Ovis aries: one gene and its partner. Each later gene encodes a partner of the first gene's protein in a complex. Links are inferred from orthologs where the notes say so. Each region holds a gene or a part of one and is shown on either strand. Other genes may lie near its edges.

Region 1 (4,103 bases):
AGCCAATCAGAGAATTGTGCACAAGCTGATCACATACCCTGGGATGCCCCTCCCTCACGTTGTCTTTAAAATGCTTTGCTGAAACCCACTGGGGAGTCTGGGTGTTTCAAGCCCTAGTCTAGTCCCCGGAGGGCTTCCCTGATGGCTCAGTGGTAAGGAACCCACCTGCCAATGCAGGAGATGAGGGTTTGAAGATCCCATGGAGAAGGAAACAGCAACCCACTCCAGTGGTCTTGCTTGGGAAATTCCATGGACAGAGGCGCCTGGTGGGCTACAGTCCATGGGGTTGCAGAGTCGGACATGACTTAGTGACTAAATAACAATAACAGAAACAAACTAGTGCCCAGCCTCCTTGCTTGGTGCTGTCCAGCAGTAAATGTTGCACTTTCCTTCACCACTACCTGGTGTCAGTAGATTGGTTTTACTGCGTGTGGGTGAGCAGACCCAAACTTGCTTGGGCTTCCCAGGTGGCGCTGCAGGTAAAGAACCCACTTGCCAATGCAGGAGACTTAAGAGATGCAGATTTGATCCCTGGGTTAGGGAGATCCCCTGGAGAAGGACGTGGCAACCCAGTCCAGTATTCTTGCCTGAAGAATCCCATGGACAGAGGAGCCTGGCGGGCTACAGTCCATAGGGTCACAAAGAGTTGGACATGACTGAAGCAACTTAGCATACACATGGGTGAGGAGACCCAAACCTGCTTTGGTAACAATAAGAGGTATTCAATTACCCCCCAAAGAGAAAAAACATTCTTGGAGTGGGGATTCCAAATTGGAAAACTTTAGGCATGTGTAGGTACTAGAAAGAGCTAGGGAGACTGTGATGCAGGGAAGGATCACCGATGAGTCTTAACTCCTATTTTTTTTTCTTTGTCTCTGCATCCTTCTCACCTTCATGTACTTGTTGAAGACTGTCTGGATCTCCTCGTTGATGCTGGGCTGCAGGACAGCTCGGAGGAGGTCCATGGAGATGGCAGGATCTGTGAAACTGCAGAGGGAGGGAGGGGAAGAAGCCACAGTCAGGAGGCATGTTCCAAACATTTCTTTTCCCAATCTGCCCAGCCAATTACTGACATAAGATCCTTCAACAACAATAACAGATGGCTTTGGGACTTCCCTGGCAGTCCAGTGGTTAAAACGCTATGCTTCCACTATAGGAAGCACTGGTTTGATCCTTGGTCAGGGAACTAAGATCCTGCATGCCATGTAGCGCGGCTAGAAAAAGAAAAAAACAAACCACCCCCGAATAAACAAAAAGATGACTTTTACTGAAAACTAGCTATGAGTCCAAGTTCTGTGCAAACCACATAGATGTGGGACTTCATTTCATACTCATAACTCTATGAAATGGGCACTATTTTTAAAGTGTTTTAGCAGAATAATACTTAATATACTGTAAGTTTTAGTGAACATCCATTTAATCACTACTTAGGTCAAGACTTCCCAGGTAGTGCTACATGTAAAGAATGCGCCTGAGATGCAGGAGATGAGGGTTCGATCCCTGGGTCTGAAGATTCCCCTGGAGGAGGGCATGGCTCCCCACTCCAGTATTCTCGGCTGGAGAATCCCATGGTGGGCTACAGTCCATAGGGTTGCAAAGACCTGGACACCGTTGAAGCGAATTAGCATACATACACACATACAGGTCAACAAACATATACAACCAGCATCCCAAAGACCCATCTTGCGCTCCCTCCCTTCCCTGAGATGGAGACTATCAGGCTTACGTTTCTCATAATCTTCATGCTATTCTGCCTCTTTGGCAGCTTTAAATACAAGAGCCATTGAACGTTAGGGATCTTGGGCATTGTCTAATCAACACACCTCTCCCTCGTTTTGAGTTTGGGGGAAATGACTTGCTCAAGGTCACACAGAGAGTTACTGAATCTGAATCTCCTCCTTCTACTGGCTGATGAACTCTTTCTTAGCCCTGTGCAGTGGGGACCGCAAAGCTGCCTTCCACGCCAGGGCCCTGGAGAGACATCCCGTCCAGGGCTAGCCTTACCTTGTGGTCATCTGTGAGCGGCGGCCCCTCCGCTGCACTTGCCGGTGCTTGATCATTATGTTCCAAGGGTTCTGTGGGGACCAAGGGAGCAGATGTCACCGAGGTCCGTGACACTGGCGTGGAGGTGGAGCGTGGGCATTAAGTTACACCTCAGACATTCCTGCTTCTCGGGTGCTTTCACCGTCTCTGCCACCTTGGGCTAGGGCGGTGCAGGGGAAGGCCCGGCAGGGGAAGAGGAACAGAGCAAAGTTTCCTGCCTCCAAAGTCCCAACCCTACTTTTCATAAAAGGGTGGAGGAAGGGGACCAGTGTTTACCGAGGGTCTACTCTGCCAGATGATGCGCTGGGCGCTTTACCCGCATTTATTATCCCTCCCCCTGACAACTTTAAGAGGCAGGGGCTAGACATCTCCATCTTCCCGAAGATAAAACTGGGGCTGAGAGGCTTGACAGGGCTGGCCCACGTCACCTAGCTAGGAGGGCGGCACCAGAATTTGAAGCCAGGTCGTCGGACTGTGACAATGCCAACCCCCTCGGTAGATCAGCCGCCGCGTTCTCTCCCCCGCGGGCCAGGGTCCCGGGAGCCCGAGGCCCTGCCCGGCCCGAGCCCAGGCCCCGCCTGGGCCTCCCCGGGGGCGCCCTCACCGTGAGAACCAGCTGCCCCGCTGCGCCCGCGTCTCCCAGCTCGGGGCCACCCCGCTCTGCCCCGCCGGGTCCCCGCGGCTGCTCAACGTCGCCAGTGGCCCCCATGGCGCCACGGGCCCCCACAACTTCAGCCCGACTCTGCCACCGGCCGGAAAGTGGCCCCGTGACGTCATTGGAGCGCGCCGCCCTCAGGCTCCGGAAGCGCGACGCGGCGAGCGGTGGGGTTGCCAGGGAAACCGCGCCGCTGGTTCTCGTCCGGTTGCAGCTGCTTAGAGGCGTTGCGTGTCGGGTGGCCTTTCTGCCTCTCGGGGGCGGCCTCGCTTCGGGTGTGACTGGGGGTGTTCAGTCAAGGGTCGTTCTCTGGCCGGGCCAAGGCCCGTGGAGAAGTGCGGGGCGGGAGGAAGGGAGCAGGTTTCCATGGGCTGGAGCTGGGGAGAGGAGGGGGGCGTTTGGTACGGGGGCGTCTGCGGTTGTCTTTGGAAAACTAGATTTTAATATGCTCCCAGAATTGGATGGGCCTCATGCGAGGACCCCCAAACCCAACAAGAGGTGGGGGCGTCTGGCCCATGGCATCCTAAACACTCACTCAGGGGTCCCTCCAGGCCTTTACCCCAGGGGTTGCCTCTTGGCGTCGGAAGGCATCTAATGAAGATCCTGGGCTTCTCTCCCCAGATGGTTGATTCTGGGATAGGTTGAGGATGCAGGGGTTTCACAGCTGTGGAGTTCCCCAGATCCCCTTTTGCTCTGCATTAGAGGTAAGACATCCATGAATAGAATTGGACCTACTTTTACCAGGTCATAATATGGGGTAGTAGAAGGTGCATGAGTTTTGCAGTTAGAAAGATCTGAGTTCAAATTCATTATGATAAGATGATAAAGAACACTGGCTATGGAATTGGACTGCTTACCTTTGTTCTGGGCTTCCCAAGTGGCTCAGTGGTCAAAGAATCCTCCTGGAACACAGGAGATGCAGGAGACGTCTGTTCCATCCCTGGGTCAGAAGATTCCCTGGAATGGCAACCCACTCCTGGTATTCTTGCCCGGGGAATCCCATGGACAGAGGAGCCTGGTGGGCTACAGTCCATAGAGTTACAAAGACTCAGACGCTGCAAAAAGTCAGACATGACCGAAGAAACTGAGCATGCACACACGCACCTTTGTTCTACCACTTATTAGCTGCGGCCTACATTTCTTTCTGCGATGCAGTTTCCCCATCTGTAGAATGGGGATAATAGTATTTAACTCATAGGGTTGTAGTGAGAATTAAGTGAGCTAACTTATGTAAAGTACTTAGACCCTTGGCAGTAATAAACCTTCAAACAATGCTATCTGACATTCCTGTTATTAAATTCCAAAAGCCACCACTTACTAGCTTAATGACCTTGGGCAGTTTTCCCTCTAAAAAAAGAATAAGTTTTCTTACTTTTGCAAGTTAGTTGTGAGAAATAAAATATGT
Region 2 (4,029 bases), on another chromosome or scaffold:
TTTGCTCTAAAAAACATTTCAACTTCAACACAGTGAAAATTTAATTCCATTATTTTAAAAGGCTTTTAAATAATCAAAACTAAAAATGCATTAAACAGTTCAATCTTTTGAGGATGCTTATTAACGACTGGGGACTATAAGAGTTGTCAATTGAGTAGGGAGGTTCAAGAGGGAGGGGACATATGTACACCTATGGCTGATTCATGTTGACGTTTGACAGGAAACAACAAAATTCTGTAAAATAATTATCCTTCAATTAAAAAATAAGTGAATTGTTTTTAAAATTAAAAAAAAAGTGGTCAATTGAAGCCATAACAAGTCAAACTGCATAACTGCATGTTAACTGGCTATATTTAATTTTGCTTTCATTTTTAGAGTTTTCAAATGCTTCAAGTATTTTTAGAATTTGTTCATATTTTTTAAATAAAACTTTCAGAAGTTTTACATTTAACTTACAAACCTTTCACCTACCTCCGGAGTATCAATATCTTGGACAGGTGAATCTCCTCCATCATCATCACTCCCTTTTCTCTTTCTTCTGTTTCGCACGCTCTGAATTAAGTTTTTATGATAATCACAAATGTAAAGATGTCTTGCCTGGAACAGAAAAGTTTCACAGACAACTTAAGATTACAGGAAAATGTGTCTATGTATTAGTAAAATACATAGTTACGGTGAATTATTAAAAATATAAACATTAGTAACAGGCCATTGTTAAGACAACGCATGTTTCTTGCTACTCTTAAGTCCTGAACCCAGTTAAAACAAGGCATGTTTCTTGCTACTCTTAAGTCCTGAACCCAGTTAAAACATATCATGTCTAGCAATATTGTTAAAGAGGCCTGGGGGTGGGGTGGGGAGAAGTGCCAGTAAGGGAAGGGAGAGAAGCAGAGAATGAGAAATTCCTATGCTCTGGATTCTGTCATCAAATTGCAGCGATGGTGAACTAGATTAGTTCAGCTATGCCGCTTTTTTAAACAAGGGCAAAAAGATGCTGGCCACAATTTTGCTATTTGATAGTATTTTCTTTACTTAAAAGAGCATTTAATAATATTAATACCATAGTGAATGCTTCCTAATCTAACTTAATACTCAAATTATAATCCAGACACAAAACCATCCACTTTTGACAAATAAATTGATTTCACATCCTTACTAAGTTTAAATTTGAATTATGAACTTTCCTGAGTATTAAATAAAAGCATTTATTTATAATAAGTTTTTCCAACCAAAGCAATGTGAAATGATTCAAGTATACCTGGAAAGTTTCAACTACTGGAAACAGAACTGAGGAACTAACTGAATAGGCAGAAAGTATCCCAAATAAAGTTCCCAAAAACGTTAATTATATAGTTCTGAGAGCTGTACGGTAGCCTCTGAAATACTGGGTTTTATACATCAGCAGTTACTTCTTAAAAAAAAATTGAGGAATGAGCTAACAGGTTTTCAAATTAAACTTTGAGCTAAAGTGCAAGTTAAGAAGATGCAGGACGTGTGCTGGTTCTCACATCTTGTGATTTATTACCGCTCCCCAGGGCTCGGAAAAGTGGAAACGGTCGTTTCTAAAAACCTCCTAGATGGTCAGAGGAACAGACCTGCGAAAGGACGAAGAAAGAAACCCTGATGGCTGCCAAACCGAGGGCTAACCCGCAGCGGCTGCCCGCTCCCCACGTCTCGAGCAGTTCCCCTAGATGATGACACGGCCGCGCGGCTCGCAGCCGGGGGCCCCCCACCCCGCACCCGCGGGACCCGGGACAGGGTCCTAGTCGCCCGCAGCGTCCGGTCCTGGCTGCACTCCATTCCTGGACCGGGGAAGCTACCCGCTCGGGCAGCAAAACAAAGAAGGTGCCTCGGTTCCAGAAGGAGCCGTGGGTTGCAGGACAGCTACTCTGGGTTCTCGGCGCTGCCGCCCCCTTTGTTTCACCACTGACCCCCTCAGAGCAGGAGTGGAGGCCCTGCGCGGGAGGGGCCGCGGGAGCGGGTCCGGGAGGCGCGAGAGTGTCTACTGCGGACGGCGGGCCGAGTTGCAGCACCTTGTTGTTTGCTTCCTACTAGGGACCCCGGAACGGGCTCGCGAGGCACCCAGGTCTGGGGCTCCCGCACCCCCACCGGCACGCGTCTGCCCTTCTCCCCGAGCGCCCCGGGGGGCGGGCAGAGCAGATTCGTACCGCCGTCACTTACGCTCTTATCCAACTCGATCTTCACCTTCTTCTGGGAGATGCTCTTCTGGATCCTCTTGCTGAAGCTGGCGTTGCCCGCCGCCCGGCCGCACCGCTCGCCGTCCTCGCGCAGACAGCACAGCTGCCCGGGGCCCGGCCCTGCCGCTCCCGGCGGCCCCGCCGCCGAGACCGCCCCTGCACCCGGCACCTCGGCCCCGGCGCCAGCCCCAGCCCCGTTCCCGGCTGACGCGGCGGCGGCAGAAGCGGCGGCCACGGCGGCCACAGCGGCGGCCGCGTCCCCGCCGCGGCTCATGTCCTCGGGAGTGAAGCCGTTCATGTTCCCGCACTCGCAGAGCCGCGCTGACAGAAGCCTCGCTCTCCGCGCCGCCTGCCTCTCTGGAGATGCCGGGGTCTCGGCGGTCCCTCGCACCTGCTTAGCGGAGACTATTAACTCTGAGCCAGGGTCCTCCGGCCAAGACCACGAGGCCCCGGCCTGCTGCTGTCTGCAGGCACAGGATCAGTGGACGGGGCGTGGGATCGGGAACTGGAATCTGGCGTCGCCTGGAGCTGGGACGCTGCTCACTGTCACATGGAGACTCCTCAGCAGTCGGACCTCGATACCCCCGCCTCCCTTCGGCCCTCGATCTGCGCAAGCACATTGCGCCCTCGCCCGTCCCGCCCCTTCCACTCTGCCCGCAGGGCACCACGGGAATTGTAGTTCTCTTTTGGGGAGCCAACCTAAGCTCCAGTCTGACATCGAGCTTCATGGTTTAGGAGAACTTCTTATCCCAGCATTCATCGCGCGGAGGCGGATCTGGATTTTTTTTTTTTTTCGGTAATACATTGAGAAAACAGGGGCGTGTGGTGGGGGGCGGGGCGGGGGGCTTGTGATGTTTTCTGGCTCTGGTAGCTCCCGGGAAGTTGAGCTGTGTTTAGCTCCTGGATTTTGCAGAGCTGGCACTTTAGACGAAGAGGTCACTTAACTCCTGAAGCGAAGCACAAAAGGCGGGAGGCGGGGGTAGGAGGGGAGGGGGTGCGAGGGTGGGAACGGAGGGGATACGAGGGGAGGGAAGGTGTGGGGGAAAAAAGTTTCGGGCCTTTTTTGTATCTGTGAAAAAATTTTTGATGTAAAGACGTCTTTTGTGGGGCTTCCCACGTGGCTCAGTGGTAAAGAATCCGCCTGCCAAATGCAGGAGACATGGGTTCGACCCCTGGGTGGGGAAGATCCCCTGGAGAAGGAAATGGCAACCCACTCCAGTATTGTTGCTTAGAGAAGCCCGTGGACAGAGGAGCCTGGCAGGCTACAGTCCATGGAGTTGCAAGAGTCAGACACGACTTAGCAACTAAACAACGTTTTTGTGGGAAACCCAAACCAAGAAGAACGGGGCTCTGGCAGTTTTGGGGTCCCAGAGGCCCCATGTCTAACCCCATGGGGTCTGGGTAGCAGCTCTGCAGACTGACGCCCGAGATGGTCCATCAGGACGCCTGCGGGGGCGGTGGGCAGGGAGGGGTGACGTGCGTCCGAACCTCCCCTTCGGCAGGAGGACTGGAGGCTCTCCAGATCCGAGCATTGTCCGTGCGAGGATCGCGCTGGCTTGCGGGGCGGACTCTTGTCTACCGCCTCCTGAGGTGGAGCTCCGGATGAGTGGACTTAAAGGGGCTGCTTTCCGCCTCCAGCCCGGGCACCTCCACTTTGTCCTCGAAGGAACCGGGAACCTGTCTAATCACACGTGAAAAATAAAAAGCAGAACCCCTCTGAGTTCCGGTCAGCCACGAGCTCCCAGAGACCGAAGGCGCGCGCTCGGCCGAGATCGCCGGGAAAGGGGTGCTCCGGATCCGTGAGCGCGCGCACGCGTGTCTGTGTACGTGT

Evidence for each region. Proteins that work in one complex are often made in the same cells at the same time.
Region 2: DNTTIP1 (region 1) and SAP30 share a complex: the UniProt entries of both Homo sapiens proteins name them as parts of the histone deacetylase complex. The link is inferred for Ovis aries from reciprocal best matches to the Homo sapiens genes DNTTIP1 and SAP30.

What each region holds. Positions count from the first base shown.
Region 1 is NC_056066.1:74,538,085-74,542,187, reverse strand, and holds the start of DNTTIP1 (deoxynucleotidyltransferase terminal-interacting protein 1), read right to left. Parts: upstream 2,811-4,103; 5' UTR 2,753-2,810; coding exon 2,648-2,752; intron 2,076-2,647; coding exon 2,005-2,075; intron 988-2,004; coding exon 891-987; intron 1-890. Other genes in the region: WFDC3 (WAP four-disulfide core domain protein 3), read left to right, coding at 3,346-3,402. UniProt on the Homo sapiens protein: Increases DNTT terminal deoxynucleotidyltransferase activity (in vitro). Also acts as a transcriptional regulator, binding to the consensus sequence 5'-GNTGCATG-3' following an AT-tract.
Region 2 is NC_056055.1:107,372,936-107,376,964, forward strand, and holds the start of SAP30 (histone deacetylase complex subunit SAP30), read right to left. Parts: upstream 2,809-4,029; 5' UTR 2,497-2,808; coding exon 2,182-2,496; intron 598-2,181; coding exon 472-597; intron 1-471. UniProt on the Homo sapiens protein: Involved in the functional recruitment of the Sin3-histone deacetylase complex (HDAC) to a specific subset of N-CoR corepressor complexes. Capable of transcription repression by N-CoR.